3 linked regions of the Saccharomyces cerevisiae S288C genome follow. The gene in region 3 interacts genetically with the main gene of each other region. Each region holds a gene or a part of one and is shown on either strand. Other genes may lie near its edges.

Evidence for each region.
Region 1: mutations in QDR3 (region 3) and TRA1 impair growth when combined (synthetic growth defect), as found in Saccharomyces cerevisiae (one study listed by BioGRID).
Region 2: mutations in QDR3 (region 3) and FUM1 together harm fitness more than expected from each alone (negative genetic interaction), as found in Saccharomyces cerevisiae (3 studies listed by BioGRID).

The regions. Positions count from the first base shown.
Region 1 is NC_001140.6:301,086-305,798, reverse strand, and holds the start of TRA1 (histone acetyltransferase TRA1), read right to left. Parts: upstream 3,039-4,713; coding exon 1-3,038. Other genes in the region: SFB3 (Sfb3p), read left to right, coding at 3,865-4,713. UniProt on the Saccharomyces cerevisiae protein: Essential scaffold subunit of the transcription coactivator SAGA complex. SAGA acts as a general cofactor required for essentially all RNA polymerase II transcription.
Region 2 is NC_001148.4:45,589-49,320, reverse strand, and holds FUM1 (fumarase FUM1), read right to left. Parts: upstream 1,986-3,732; coding exon 519-1,985; downstream 1-518. Other genes in the region: CUB1 (Cub1p), read right to left, coding at 1-18; YPL261C (uncharacterized protein), read left to right, coding at 17-325; KEL3 (Kel3p), read left to right, coding at 2,815-3,732. UniProt on the Saccharomyces cerevisiae protein: Catalyzes the reversible stereospecific interconversion of fumarate to L-malate.
Region 3 is NC_001134.8:321,342-325,790, forward strand, and holds QDR3 (Qdr3p), read right to left. Parts: upstream 2,605-4,449; coding exon 535-2,604; downstream 1-534. Other genes in the region: CST26 (putative acyltransferase), read right to left, coding at 1-268; TCM62 (Tcm62p), read right to left, coding at 3,000-4,449. UniProt on the Saccharomyces cerevisiae protein: Multidrug resistance transporter involved in resistance and adaptation to quinidine and to the herbicide barban (4-chloro-2-butynyl [3-chlorophenyl] carbamate).

The sequences.
Region 1 (4,713 bases), on a different chromosome or scaffold from region 3:
TAGTGAATATCACTTTTGTAGCTTTGCAATATATTCAAAGCGGACTGGATTCCTGGCGTTACAGAAAGCGGTACATCTTCCGGCATACCATTGATTTTGAAATCTGCTATCGCATCAATGTCTAGTTCCGTTTTTTCCGTGAGGTCCGTTGGTGGCTTTAAAAATTGACGATTTCTACCTCCTAATTTGCCCAGTATTCTGACTACGTTGTGGCTGATAGCATGATTAAATGGTTGAGGTTGCAGAAGGTTAAACAAGGCCTTCGAAACGTCATCGATTACCGGTTCGATTATAGGATCAAAATACTCGGCGGTCAAATTATCAATACATAATTCTAAGGTCCTTAAACCCTGCGAAACGAGATCAGGATATTGCTGTAATGCAAATACCAATGGTTTCATCAAAAATGGCAAATAAGGAGCAAGCACACTTAACCGAACTGGTACAGTGATGCATAATTCCACATAAAGTTCTCTCTCGTGGGGCAATCGTGCAGTAAGTATCATTTGGTTTAAAGATTGTAATAGCACCTGTAGTATGGGCTTAATCGATCTATATAAGTTTTCAAATCTGCCCCCACCTATACTTCTAAAAAGAGTTCTAATAAGATAAAAGTATACTAGAGGCTCTTCTGCTGTAGTTGAGTATTTCAGGGAGTTTAGAATTAGATCGTTTAAGTGTGGAAGAAGAACAACCTCATTGATATTGGGGAAAAGATTGACGGACATAAAGGACAATTTGAAAAGTCGTATTAGGACATTAGAAGTGTTAAAATCAACGTTTCCTAAATCTTTCAATTTCCCTTTCAAGAATCTTAAAAGGATGCCAGCAAAATTTGGGGAGGTTATTTCACTTGTTAAAAAGGATTGCGCGACATGTAGCAGCCCAGAATCCTCCAGCATTCTTTCATAGACAAATGGCAGTTCCTGTTCAATTATTTCATTAAAAGTGGCATTATCCATCTGCATAAACATAAATGCCAAATAGTCCATTAACTCACGAGCATCTTTGGTGGCTGAGACCGGTAGGCTGGGCATTGATATATCAAAATGTTTTTTTGTTGTTTCTGGAGATAATTTTTCATTATGATCTTTAAAAAATTTCAAACCAATAATACATTCGTGAAATAAATCCTTGAAAACAATGACTTCCTCATATGAAAAAACTCTAGAAACAGAAGCCCACAATTTAGGATTAGCAACCGTATATTCGTTAGGAGGTGGGTTAAAGACTTTTAAGTCATGAATTATTGTTTTTAAGAAAGACATTAAAGTTCTGTATAAGTAAAAAGCATCCTTGATGGGATCATTTGTTGGTGTGGGTAGTAATAATATAGGTGCGTAGTTTTTTATGTCAAACATTTCAACGTCATTCTTCACCACTTTGTCAGATTCTGTCATTTCAACATCGGGACTATCATTGATATCTTCTTTTTTAGGCTGTGGCATCAAATGGTCGTCATCGGATGGTTCCAGTACCTTCCTCATAAATTCCTCACTCTCTTTGTCATTATCCTGTATAGAGTTTTTGAGCTTTTCTGCTTTCTCCTTCTTATGCGTTTCGTATCTTCCATAGTACTTCATTATTGTATCGTACTGTCTGTTTAAGGTTTTAAATCTATTCATATATGAGTCAATGATTATCATTAACAATTTCTTTGCTCTAGGGGCCTCTTGTGGGTTCTCCTTTCCCAATTTTAATATTCTTTCAACTAAATTAAGCAGCAATTTTGCACTCATGATTTGTACAGTTAAGGCTAATGACTCATCCAATAGATATCCAGTGTAAATCTTTATTGTTTTTTCAATTTCACTTAGTTGTAATTCAGATCTTATATTATGAATGAAATCTGCCACAGTACTATAAGCCAGGGGCCTTAATGTTTCATGCATAGTAAAACCGTTACCAATAAGTATACGTTCGTCAAACAGATAGTCCAATTTGGGTAAAAAGAGCTTTTTGTAGTTTGTAGATAGAATGTGTCTAGTGGCATGCAAAAGTTCCTTCCTAGCAGATGATAGTTCAGAAGGGCAGTCTTGTAAAAGCCTTATGATTAAATCAGGAACAAAATTCACATAATCCTGCAAAAATTCAGGAGCGTATCCTCTAATGAATACGTAAGCCAAGAAAGACGTGGCCTTGATCTGGGCTAATATAAAATCACAGTAAGCCGGTCTGTTGATAATCTCCGTCGATATAGAAGTGAAATGTTCTCCCCGTGATTCCGCCTGTTCTCTCGCTTCCTGTTGTTGTTTAATTTGTATATTCAATAGATTCATAATAAGAGGAGTGAATTCCGGAAGCGAGGTGCTAGTCAACTGCTTGTAAGACGAATATAAAGTGACCATTGTAATAGGGCATTCAGAAAGGATTTTAAAGGAAAACATAGATGACCTCAACCCGTTTGATGAGGTAGAGTTTTCAAACCTTGGCTCCGTGGATGATTGTTTCGATGGAAAGTCCTTTTCTTCATCATTTTTGGAGAATTCATCGAGAAGTTCATCTGCCTGTGGTTCTTTTGGTGAATCCAAATCACCCTGTTCTGCTTTCCCGGCTTCATAAAACGTCTGGTTTATAAGGTTTGGTGTATTTTTATAAATCTGAATAATTATTCGTATGAAGGAGTCGAGTTTGTCCTGTAGTATTGATTTGAATGATTTGAAAAGTGTCGTCAGCACTTTCATACATAATATCCCATTTTCTTCGTTTTCCTTTGGTAGTACTGAAAGTAAAAACTCGAGCACTTCCATTGCGTAGGGTTGAAAGGTTTGGTTCATGAGACACCTGTTGAAAATATCAAGCATAGAGTTTCTCAACTTTTGTTCCGGTGAATGCGCATCATATGAAATAGGAACTTCCTTTAGCTGGTTTAGAAGTAAAGGTATCACAGCTTGTAAGAAAAAATGGTAATCCTCAGGAGAATTCAGTAATTCCATTATGTCGTACAATTCCGATAGAGTGGAATATCTCGATTGTAGAGTGGCATCATCATCGCGAAACCTACTGGCGAATTGCTCGATCTGCTCAGTGAGTGACATCGGCAAAATGCGGTATTCTTTGTAACTATGGAGATATCGTGTGATAGATCTTCTCTGAATTTAATCTTCTTTATGTAATTACGTGTGATACCTCCGATTTTGTTGGTGTTGTTTATTAGAATACAACTAAAAAAGGCTATTAAAGAAAAATGGTTCTTGAGCTTTTTTTTCAGTTTGACCTGGAAAACTGTCTGACCACGTGATCACTTACCAAATTAGGAAACACAAGATTCAAGGTGGTCTTTTGAACAATTGTTGGTTGAATTTGTAATTTGAGGGTACAATAAATGCAGACTGATTTGGTATTCGATACGTGCGTTAGCTATTTTCGTGCGTTTTGTTTGTTCCTATGATCTCAGCGGCGTCCAGATGCTAGTTGAAAAGGCATGAATTATGGCTTTGTCTTGAAATGCGCGTGTCCGTAAAATATTGTCTGGCAGAGTAGCGTACAATTCTTAGTTTTGGCTTTTTGATTCAAGTTGATCTTCAAATTTCACTTATTTGCGTTCTGGCGATCTATCTGAAGGAGTTGATTAGTGGCGGCTAAAAGTGATGCAGCTCGTCCTTCTGTTTGCCCTATTGAAGGTGAAGCCTTCCGTGCACAATGCGAAAAAAATGTTCTTTTTTTTCCTTCGTTTCGTCTCAACGTGGGAACGATCAAACTGGAAAAACCAAAGAGAAAAATGTTAGAAAATAAATAAATAAAAAAAACACGTACGCTGTAACAACTTAGGTCTGATTCAACCAAATCGGAGCTTGCAACTGAAGAAATTAGTAATTTTGAGGGTTACTAAGGAGGCCATTTGCAGAAGAATATTGGACCATCATGTCTCAGCAGAATATTTTGGCAGCTAGTGTTTCAGCGCTCTCTCTTGATGAATCTACTGTGCATACGGGCGGAGCATCTTCCAAAAAAAGTAGAAGACCTCACAGAGCATATCATAACTTTTCCTCGGGCACTGTTCCTACTTTGGGCAATTCACCCTACACTACACCCCAATTGAATCAGCAGGATGGTTTTCAACAACCTCAAGCCTTTACCCCTAAGCAATTTGGTGGCTTCAACAACGGTTCGGGTTCCGTTATGTCCACGCCTGTAATGGTGAGTCAAGAGCGATTCGGTGCGAGTGAGGCCTCCTCGCCATATGGTCAATCTATGCTTGATATGACAGCGCCTCAACCTACATCTCACATTGTTCCAACTCAAAGATTTGAAGATCAAGCTCAATATTTACAACGATCTTTCGAAACTTGTAGAGATTCTGTTCCGCCCTTGCCGACCACCCAGTTTTATTGTGTTGACCAAGGTTCATGTGATCCGCACTTGATGAGTTTATCCATGTACAACATCCCCGAAAGTGAACACTTGAGAGCCGCCACGAAGCTACCACTTGGATTAACCATCCAACCATTTTCCACTTTGACACCGAATGATGCAGAAGTTCCCACAATTCCATTACCAATGGATGGTACGCCTTTGCGTTGTAGACGTTGTCGTGCGTATGCTAATCCTAAATTTCAGTTCACTTATGATTCAAGTGTTATTTGTAATATTTGTAGAGTTAAGATGCAAGTTCCAGGTGAGCATTTTGCGCCCATGGGTCCCAATGGGCAACGAAGTGATTTGAACGAAAAATCAGAGTTATTGCACGGAACAGTCGATTTCTTGGTGCCA
Region 2 (3,732 bases), on a different chromosome or scaffold from region 3:
TCCAGCGGATGCAAACATGCTCTTTTTAGACAGTTATTCTCTTCTAATACAATTTCAGCGTTTTAAAAATTGGGAAAGTCCTCGAAGATTTAGTAGTTCTTTTCCTTTGCTTTTGTTTGTTTTTAAACCGATATTTGCTGCTAAACTTCTTAAAGAGATTTGCTCTTCTGGTGTACTCTCTTATTCGTTATCATTTCTGAAAATTCCCCTTTCCGTGATGCGGGTAATACTAGGTCCCTTACCCGACGACAAGAAATTAAAAAATGACGCAAAATATTCATTTATGAACTATTTTATTATAACTTGTATAGGAATAATAATGTAGTGATGTAAATTTATGGGCCCCATTAAGCCATCAAAAATGGAATGTATGCCTATGCTCCTCTTCTGACATAACTGGCCAGAGGCGGGACCTTAGCGGAGGGACCATTGCTGAATCACAAATTCTCTCCACTTCCTTATTTTCCTTCATATAATAAGACATAAAAAACTTGTATATTATTAGGTATTTAGCTCGTTTATTTAGGACCTAGCATGTGTTCAGGAACAACCCATTCATCAAATTCCTTTTCAGTCAATACACCCAATTCCAATGCACTTTCCTTCAAGGTAATGCCCTTCTTATGAGCATTCTTGGCGACCTTGGAAGCGGCATCATAACCGATCTTAGGGTTCAAAGCGGTGACTAACATTAAAGATTTAGTCAACAACTCATGAATACGAGGCTCATTGGCTTTGATACCTTCAACACAGTGCACTCTAAATGAATATGCGGCATCAGTAATTAACCTGATCGAATTCAATAGATTGGCGATCATGACTGGCTTGAAGACATTTAACTCGAATTGACCTTGAGAGCCGGCAAACGTGATAGCTGCATTGTTACCCATGACTTGCACACACACTTGAGTCAATGCCTCGTTTTGGGTTGGGTTAACTTTACCAGGCATGATTGAGGAACCTGGTTCATTCTCTGGCAGCATTAGTTCATGGTAGCCGCAACGTGGCCCGGACCCTAAGTATCTTATATCTTGCGCTATTTTGAAAAGAGAACAAGCAAGGGTGTTTAGAGCACCGCTACATTCGACAATGGCGTCGTGAGCAGCCAAAGCCTCGAACTTATTAGGGGCGGTTTGAAACTTTAGTCCAGTTTCTTTGGAAATTTGCTCGGCTATCTTGACATCGAATCCGGGCTTGGTGTTCAACCCTGTACCAACGGCAGTACCACCTTGTGCCAGGAAACTCAATGTTTTCAAAGAATGTGCCACTCTTTGGATACCGTTCTCAACTTGTTGCACGTAACCGGAAAACTCTTGACCTAGTGTCAAAGGCGTGGCATCTTGCAAGTGTGTTCTACCGATCTTCACAATATGGTCAAATTCCTTGGATTTGGCTTCAAGGGCGTTCTTTAAATTGGTCAACTCAGGTATCAACTCGTTTTGAATTTGCAAACTGGCAGCGATATGCATGACAGTGGGGAAAGTATCATTGGATGATTGAGATTGGTTGCAATGATTGTTTGGATGGACTTGTTTAGATCCAATCTTGCCTCCTAGGATCTCAATGGCACGATTGGAAATAACTTCATTAGCATTCATGTTAGACTGGGTACCGGAACCCGTTTGGAAAACAACCAATGGAAAGTGGTCGTCTAGCTTACCAGAAGCCACTTCGTCAGCGGCCTGTTGAATAGCCTTGGAGATCTTGGGATCCAATCCCCCCAGAGACTCATTCACAATCGCGGCAGATTTCTTCAAAACACCAAATGCATGCACCAAAGGCAATGGCATTCTTTCACGAGCGCCACCAATCTTGAAGTTTTGAAAGGATCTTTGAGTTTGGGCACCCCAGTACTTATCAGCAGGCACGTGTATCTCACCAAATGCATCGGTTTCAGTTCTGAACGAGGAGTTCATTCTTCTTATATTAAGCTTATATGACGATTTTACGAAAGTCTTGCAACTACAATTGGTAAATCTCAACATGATTGTATCTCTTATCCGTTTAATAGTTAGACTTTATGGAATTTCTTGACGTGAGAAAAAAAACAGCTGCAGTACTAAAAGTCACGAATTTAAAAATGCAAAAAAATGACTGTATGTAATGGAGAAACGATATGAATATCCCAGAAGAAAGAGCTAGAGTCACTCCCCCGTGTGTTCGGTCCGGCCTCCTGTTGGATGCTTGTTTAACGTCTACAACAGTGATGAAGATTATATATAGCCTATAAGAAACGCAAAAAGGCTTTACAGGAAAGAGCCAATCATCGAACGCCCATTCCGGGAATCGGGGTAGTCATTCCGAGGATCGGCTCAGGGGAGGGGCCTGAAGCCTCTCCAATATGGTAGTGATAGCAAGAACTAGAGACATTTACTGCTAGCTTCCATAGCTCTCTAACCACAGGGTACGAATAATAACCATTATTAGGTACTGACATTATGATGTCGCCCGCGGCGATTCGGAAGGGTTTAAGGACACGTCTTAACAAATGGCATTACAGAATGGCTATAGGCGACTCACTACTATGTATTGACTATGTAGGAGATACCAAGCTTTGCTTTACGAGCCCTCTTTACTTTTTTTCTTGTATAGTTATAGTTAATGTAGTAGTCGCAATAACTGCGGTAGTAGTACTAACATCAGTAAAAGTAACGCTTGGTAGTTTTTCTGCCCGGTTTAACCATTGATTTGATGAAATTGTAGAAAACTGAAAAAAAAAAAAAAAATGAAAAAAAAAAATGATGAGCTTCTCGAAGAATACATTAACCACTTATAGGAAGGAGAAGAGATCTACTAGACTCGTAGAAGTGATTAATGGCAAAGAAGAATAAGAAGGATAAAGAGGCCAAAAAGGCACGTGCTGAACTGAAGAATCAGAAAAACCAAAAAAAGCAGGAGAAAAAGTTTCAGAAGAACAAGAATAAGTCTTTAAACGGCGAAGAAGATGATGAAAGTGATCAAGATCTCGATGAAATTCTCTCTAGCTTTAGCAAAAAGCAAATTGAATTAGAGCATGTAGACATCACTTCTGTGGAAAAACCCTCTTGTCGTACTCATCCGTTGATGTTTGCAAATCCGCAACACAATAAACATGAATTGTTCATTTTCGGTGGTGAATTTACAGATCCAGAAACCAAACTAACACATTTCTATAATGATTTGTATTCATACTCCATAAAGAACAACTCTTGGAAAAAATACGTTTCGCAAAATGCACCTTTGCCCAGATCCAGTGCCGCTGTCGCTGTGCATCCTTCCGGAATAGCACTGTTACACGGTGGTGAATTTTCGTCCCCAAAACAATCTAAATTCTACCACTATTCTGATACATGGCTGTTTGACTGCGTTGAAAGGAAATTCACTAAGTTGGAGTTTGGCGGTAGAGACTCTTCACCCAGCGCCAGATCAGGTCATAGAATTATTGCTTGGAAAAACTATTTCATATTATTTGGTGGATTTAGAGATTTGGGGAATGGTCAAACTTCTTACCTAAATGATTTGTGGTGTTTTGATATCTCAACCTACAAATGGACCAAATTGGAGACAAACAGCAAACCTGACGCTAGATCGGGTCATTGTTTCATTCCTACAGATAATTCTGCCATATTAATGGGTGGTTACTGTAAAATCATTGCCAAAAATAATAAAAATTTAATGAAGGGAAAAATCTTGAATGATGCATGGAAACTGAACTTAACGCCTGATCCAAAGAAGTGGCAGTGGGAAAAATTA
Region 3 (4,449 bases):
AAAAAGTACCTTTAGGAACACTGGAATTTTCAGTGGTAATTCTCACTGCAGATGGTGCGACAACATGCAAAATGGATGATACCAAGACAATAAATAATCTTTTGGTTTTATTGAGACCAATTTGTTTCCTTATATCATTTCTACAGTAAAGAGTCTTATAGGTGAGTTGGAGAAACAAAAGAATAAGGCATCCCTGGAAGAAAATCAATAAGGAAATACCTGGGACGACGACTTTTCGAACTTTATGAGCTATTTTTTGATGCAGCATCAGCTTATTGACCTCGCTAGCAATCTCAATACCAGTGGACCTGATATATCCTTTTTTTTTGTTGGCTAGTGTTCATTAATGATCTTTCGCGTTTATATTTCTTTTTCTGATGAGTTTTTCGCCTCTTGAGATGTTGTTGAACATTATTTAATAATACTTTTAGCACAATAACGATTTACCATAAACTAAAGTAAACTATGTATGTGCCACCCTATGAAAAGTCTACAATGAAAATATTTACGCTTCCGTCTTATTAACCGATATGATTAATCAATTTTGTCGTACAATTTTTGTAAATCGTAGTTCTCTCTCCAGTAATCACCGTGCTTTTTCAGTATTATAAGTACACTGCTAGCACCCAAGACGATAAAGGCCAGCATTGTGAAAGCCCACCCAGTTCCCATACCGTTTAACATGGGTGTGGTGACAAAGACTGCGGTTGCAGCCAAGATTTGCCTTATTAAATTATTCAAAGCAACACCGGTGGCACCCTTTCCCGGCAATGAATCGACTAAATAGGAAAGGGTAGCACCAATTGTCATCATAGCTGCATATCCAAAGAGGGCTGTTCCAATTAGTGGCGTTACCCAGTGGCATTTTTTATCTAGGCACCAGCCAAATATCAATAGCGCAATGGGGAAAGATATTACAGATGTAACAACATTCCACGATATACGAGCTTCAGGAGCAAGAATTCCATATTTCTCTTTGTATCTTTTTAAAAGCATGTCCACCCAACGTCCACCGTAAATTGAGGCGAAAAAGTATGTTACAGAATTCGGAATATACAGTAGACCAATGTATAATGGTTTAAAGTTGTAAGGAGGCCTTGAATATTTATATTCAACTGTCATATTAACAAAGTATACTGTGGAAAAGGAAATTGCGGAAAATGTTATTGCAAGTGCCACGGGTGGATATTCTAGGAAGTGCAATGATTTTAAAGGCTTGATAAAATAAACAAAAAAGGTGTCCCAGACCTTCCTCACCGCTGATACCTGTTTAGGAGCGATTTCACCTCCATTACTGGATAGCACTTTTTTGACTTGCTCTTCCAGGTTGGTTTGTAATTTTCTCAGACTATTTTCTCGAATCGATCTCGCTAACTTTGGATCTGTTGATCTTATTCTCGTAACTTGTGCTGTTGTTGCATCGATACCGCTATCATCTAGCTGATATTCATACAGACTTCTACTCGCCTCTGTATAAATCCGTTGCAATTGGGTTTCTCCAGCTCGACCATCATAAGTATTGGGGCTAGAGTGACTTTCTAAATCTAGCGAGTCTTGATCCCTTACCTCTCCAACGTAGTTATGCTTCTCAGTAGATAATGTGGCAACTTGGTTTTCAATTCGATCTGTCTCATCTTCTCCCCTCTGATAATCTTCTTGTATCTCTCCACGTTCGTTATTGTCTACTTGAATACGTCTTTCAGCCAAAATTTGAGCGATAGCGCCTTTAGAATCTTGTTTTCTTAATGTTTCAGGTAGTAACACCGTCAAAAGAATGACATTACATCCGGATAAAATAACCATAAACCATTGAGTGGATCTCCAGGGCCAGCGATTCACTAACAAAGATCCAAAAATTGGAGATAGTAGCGGCGCCAGTAGTGGACCCAAATAGTAATAACTCAAATTTTTACCTCTATCTTCGCTAATATATAAATCAGCCACTGTTCCAGCACCTACACTTTGAACACTGGCAGAAGCAGCCCCACAGAGCATTCTCAAGGCAATAAATGAGTTGATATCAGGAGCTAGAGCAGACCCGATATTAAATGCAAACAATAATGCAAATGAAGTTATGTAAGTAGTTCTTCTGCCCTCTAGCTCGGATAGAGAAGACCACCACAATGGGAAAACACCAAGACTTAAAAGGTACACACCAATTGAAACGTTTACCATAATCACTGATGTTTTAAATTCTGTTGTGATTGAGTTGATCGCTGGAAAAATGATAGATGTGCCCATGGGGCCCATCATGGAGGAAAACGCAATCAAGAAGACAATCATCTTTTTCATCATCGGTGGATAATCTCTGGCATCCTTGAACTCCGGTATAATGGCGAGTTGAGGCAATAGTCCCCTACGTTGATTCTTTGGAACAACGTATTCCTCACTCTTCAACCTACTTAGCTGGTTGTCTCTGTGTTCACGACTATTTGATGCCGTACTTTCCAGATTGGTCTTTTCGTAACTATAATCGTTGTGCTCGCTGTGCGGGCTGCCGCTGCTTTCATCGCAGTGCATCATAACATGATTGTTCGGTAGTGAATTGTCAGAGCAATTACTCCTCAAAGACCCTACATTCGATTGTGAACCTTGGGCTTGCATGTTTATCGCTTTCTGACTTCGGTCCTAGCATAGACGTTAACAAGTTAGAAAGATGTGAATACATATGCCTTCAACCCTGTTTTCTTTTAAGGATACAAGGACACAGCTATTACAACAAATTTTGTTGGTTTCTATCTTATCTAATCGATAATCTTTTAATATTTTAATCTAATCGCAGTTATCCAAAACTGGAATGAGATGGTTCAAATCCCCAAAGGTAGATGGAGTTACTGCTGAGGCGTGGAAAAACCCGAGTTTTTCCGAAGCCGCATATGAGAAATTGAGCAGGAATAATAGATATTTACGAAGAGGTAAAAGTGATAAAAGGCAGCGCCGTGGCAATATCTATTTACAATGACTCATTCTGACTATTTAAAAGTATGTAAGGGCTTTATCTAGGCTTTGTGCCGTTCAGGCTTTTTGTATACACATGTGATAATTGTATTACAGCTTGTAAGTAATTCAATGAACGTTTCTACACCGGCTAAACAAGAATCCATTTTGCTCCATGGCTCCAAGTTTCCATCCTTTACTGTGTTCACCGGTTCTGAATTTGGAGAAAACTTGGCCATTGGAAACGATTTTTCGTTTATAGCGCCTGCTATCAGGCTATTGATCTCATAATAGTTGTACCCATATGCATTCTTAAACGCCACTTCTGATGGGAGAATAACTGCTGATAAAACAGCATTGATGCCTACCTTAGTCATGAAATTGGGTTCATTTGCTTTCAGTTCATTCAAACCTGGAATTGCCTTCAGTAGGGAGATGCCGTAACCTGGGATGAAACCTTTGGCCAGCCCATGACATAGGACGTTATTTAAGCAATTATCTATTGCATTTCTTCTTCTGTCGATTTCGATTTCGTTATGTCCACCAATGCTTAAAGTGACCGTATTTTGGAGGAAGGATTTCGGAACTTTATTTGGAATCGCTTCAGCATCAATGGAGTTATATAAGAATGCCTCCCCTGTGGTCGCTTTTATGGATTCGATACTGCCGTAATATTTATCCGCACACATTTTGCTTGGCACTAAAGGACTATATTCTGGTGAGTAGATGCTGTCATATCCGCAAGGCAACCGTAAGAACTTTATAAAATCAAGATTCTCCTGTGGCGCTAAGTCATTGTTCGCCTTTTTAGAGTACTTCAAAACCACTATTCGGCTTTCATTATTTTCTCTCTTGTTTCTGTTATTGTTAATTGTAACGGATGTTAATGCATCACCTGTGCAATCTCCGTTAACGATTAAGAGAACAGATTTTCTCAACTTTCTTGCATACGTTATCGTGGGTAGAATTTTATTAGCGTCTCGTAACGTCCCATCATACATAAGAACTAGCATATCTTTATCAATGGAAACTAATTTCTTAGTAGGCAACTCCAGGGACCTTAAATAGGCTTCATTACTATCTAAAATACCAGCTGGATATTTCCAACCCTTGGATACATCAACCTCATCGTAAGTTTTGTTGCCGTTTATGACCCGCACAATGTCATCCGAAAACAATTCATAATTAATGGCTTTCAAAACCCTTTTGATGCTTTGGCTGTCTGAGGAGGACATAGTCAATTGCTCGACCAGAGCATCAACATCGTTTTGACTTTTCACTATAATCTTGTTCTTCGCAAGAAAATCTCTGATATATCGTAATCCGGCCTTGATCCCATTGGTCACTTCTTTTTCGGGATACTTGAAATAGTGCTCCAGTAAAGAGCATGTCAAAGATGTTGAAGTTGCTGTTAAGTTGTCCTGAATGCAATCCATGAATAATTGTAGACCAACCCTCCCCAGCTTTCGAGGCCTGTTTGATTGAAGTCGTGTGTTGGTAGCTTCATCTACT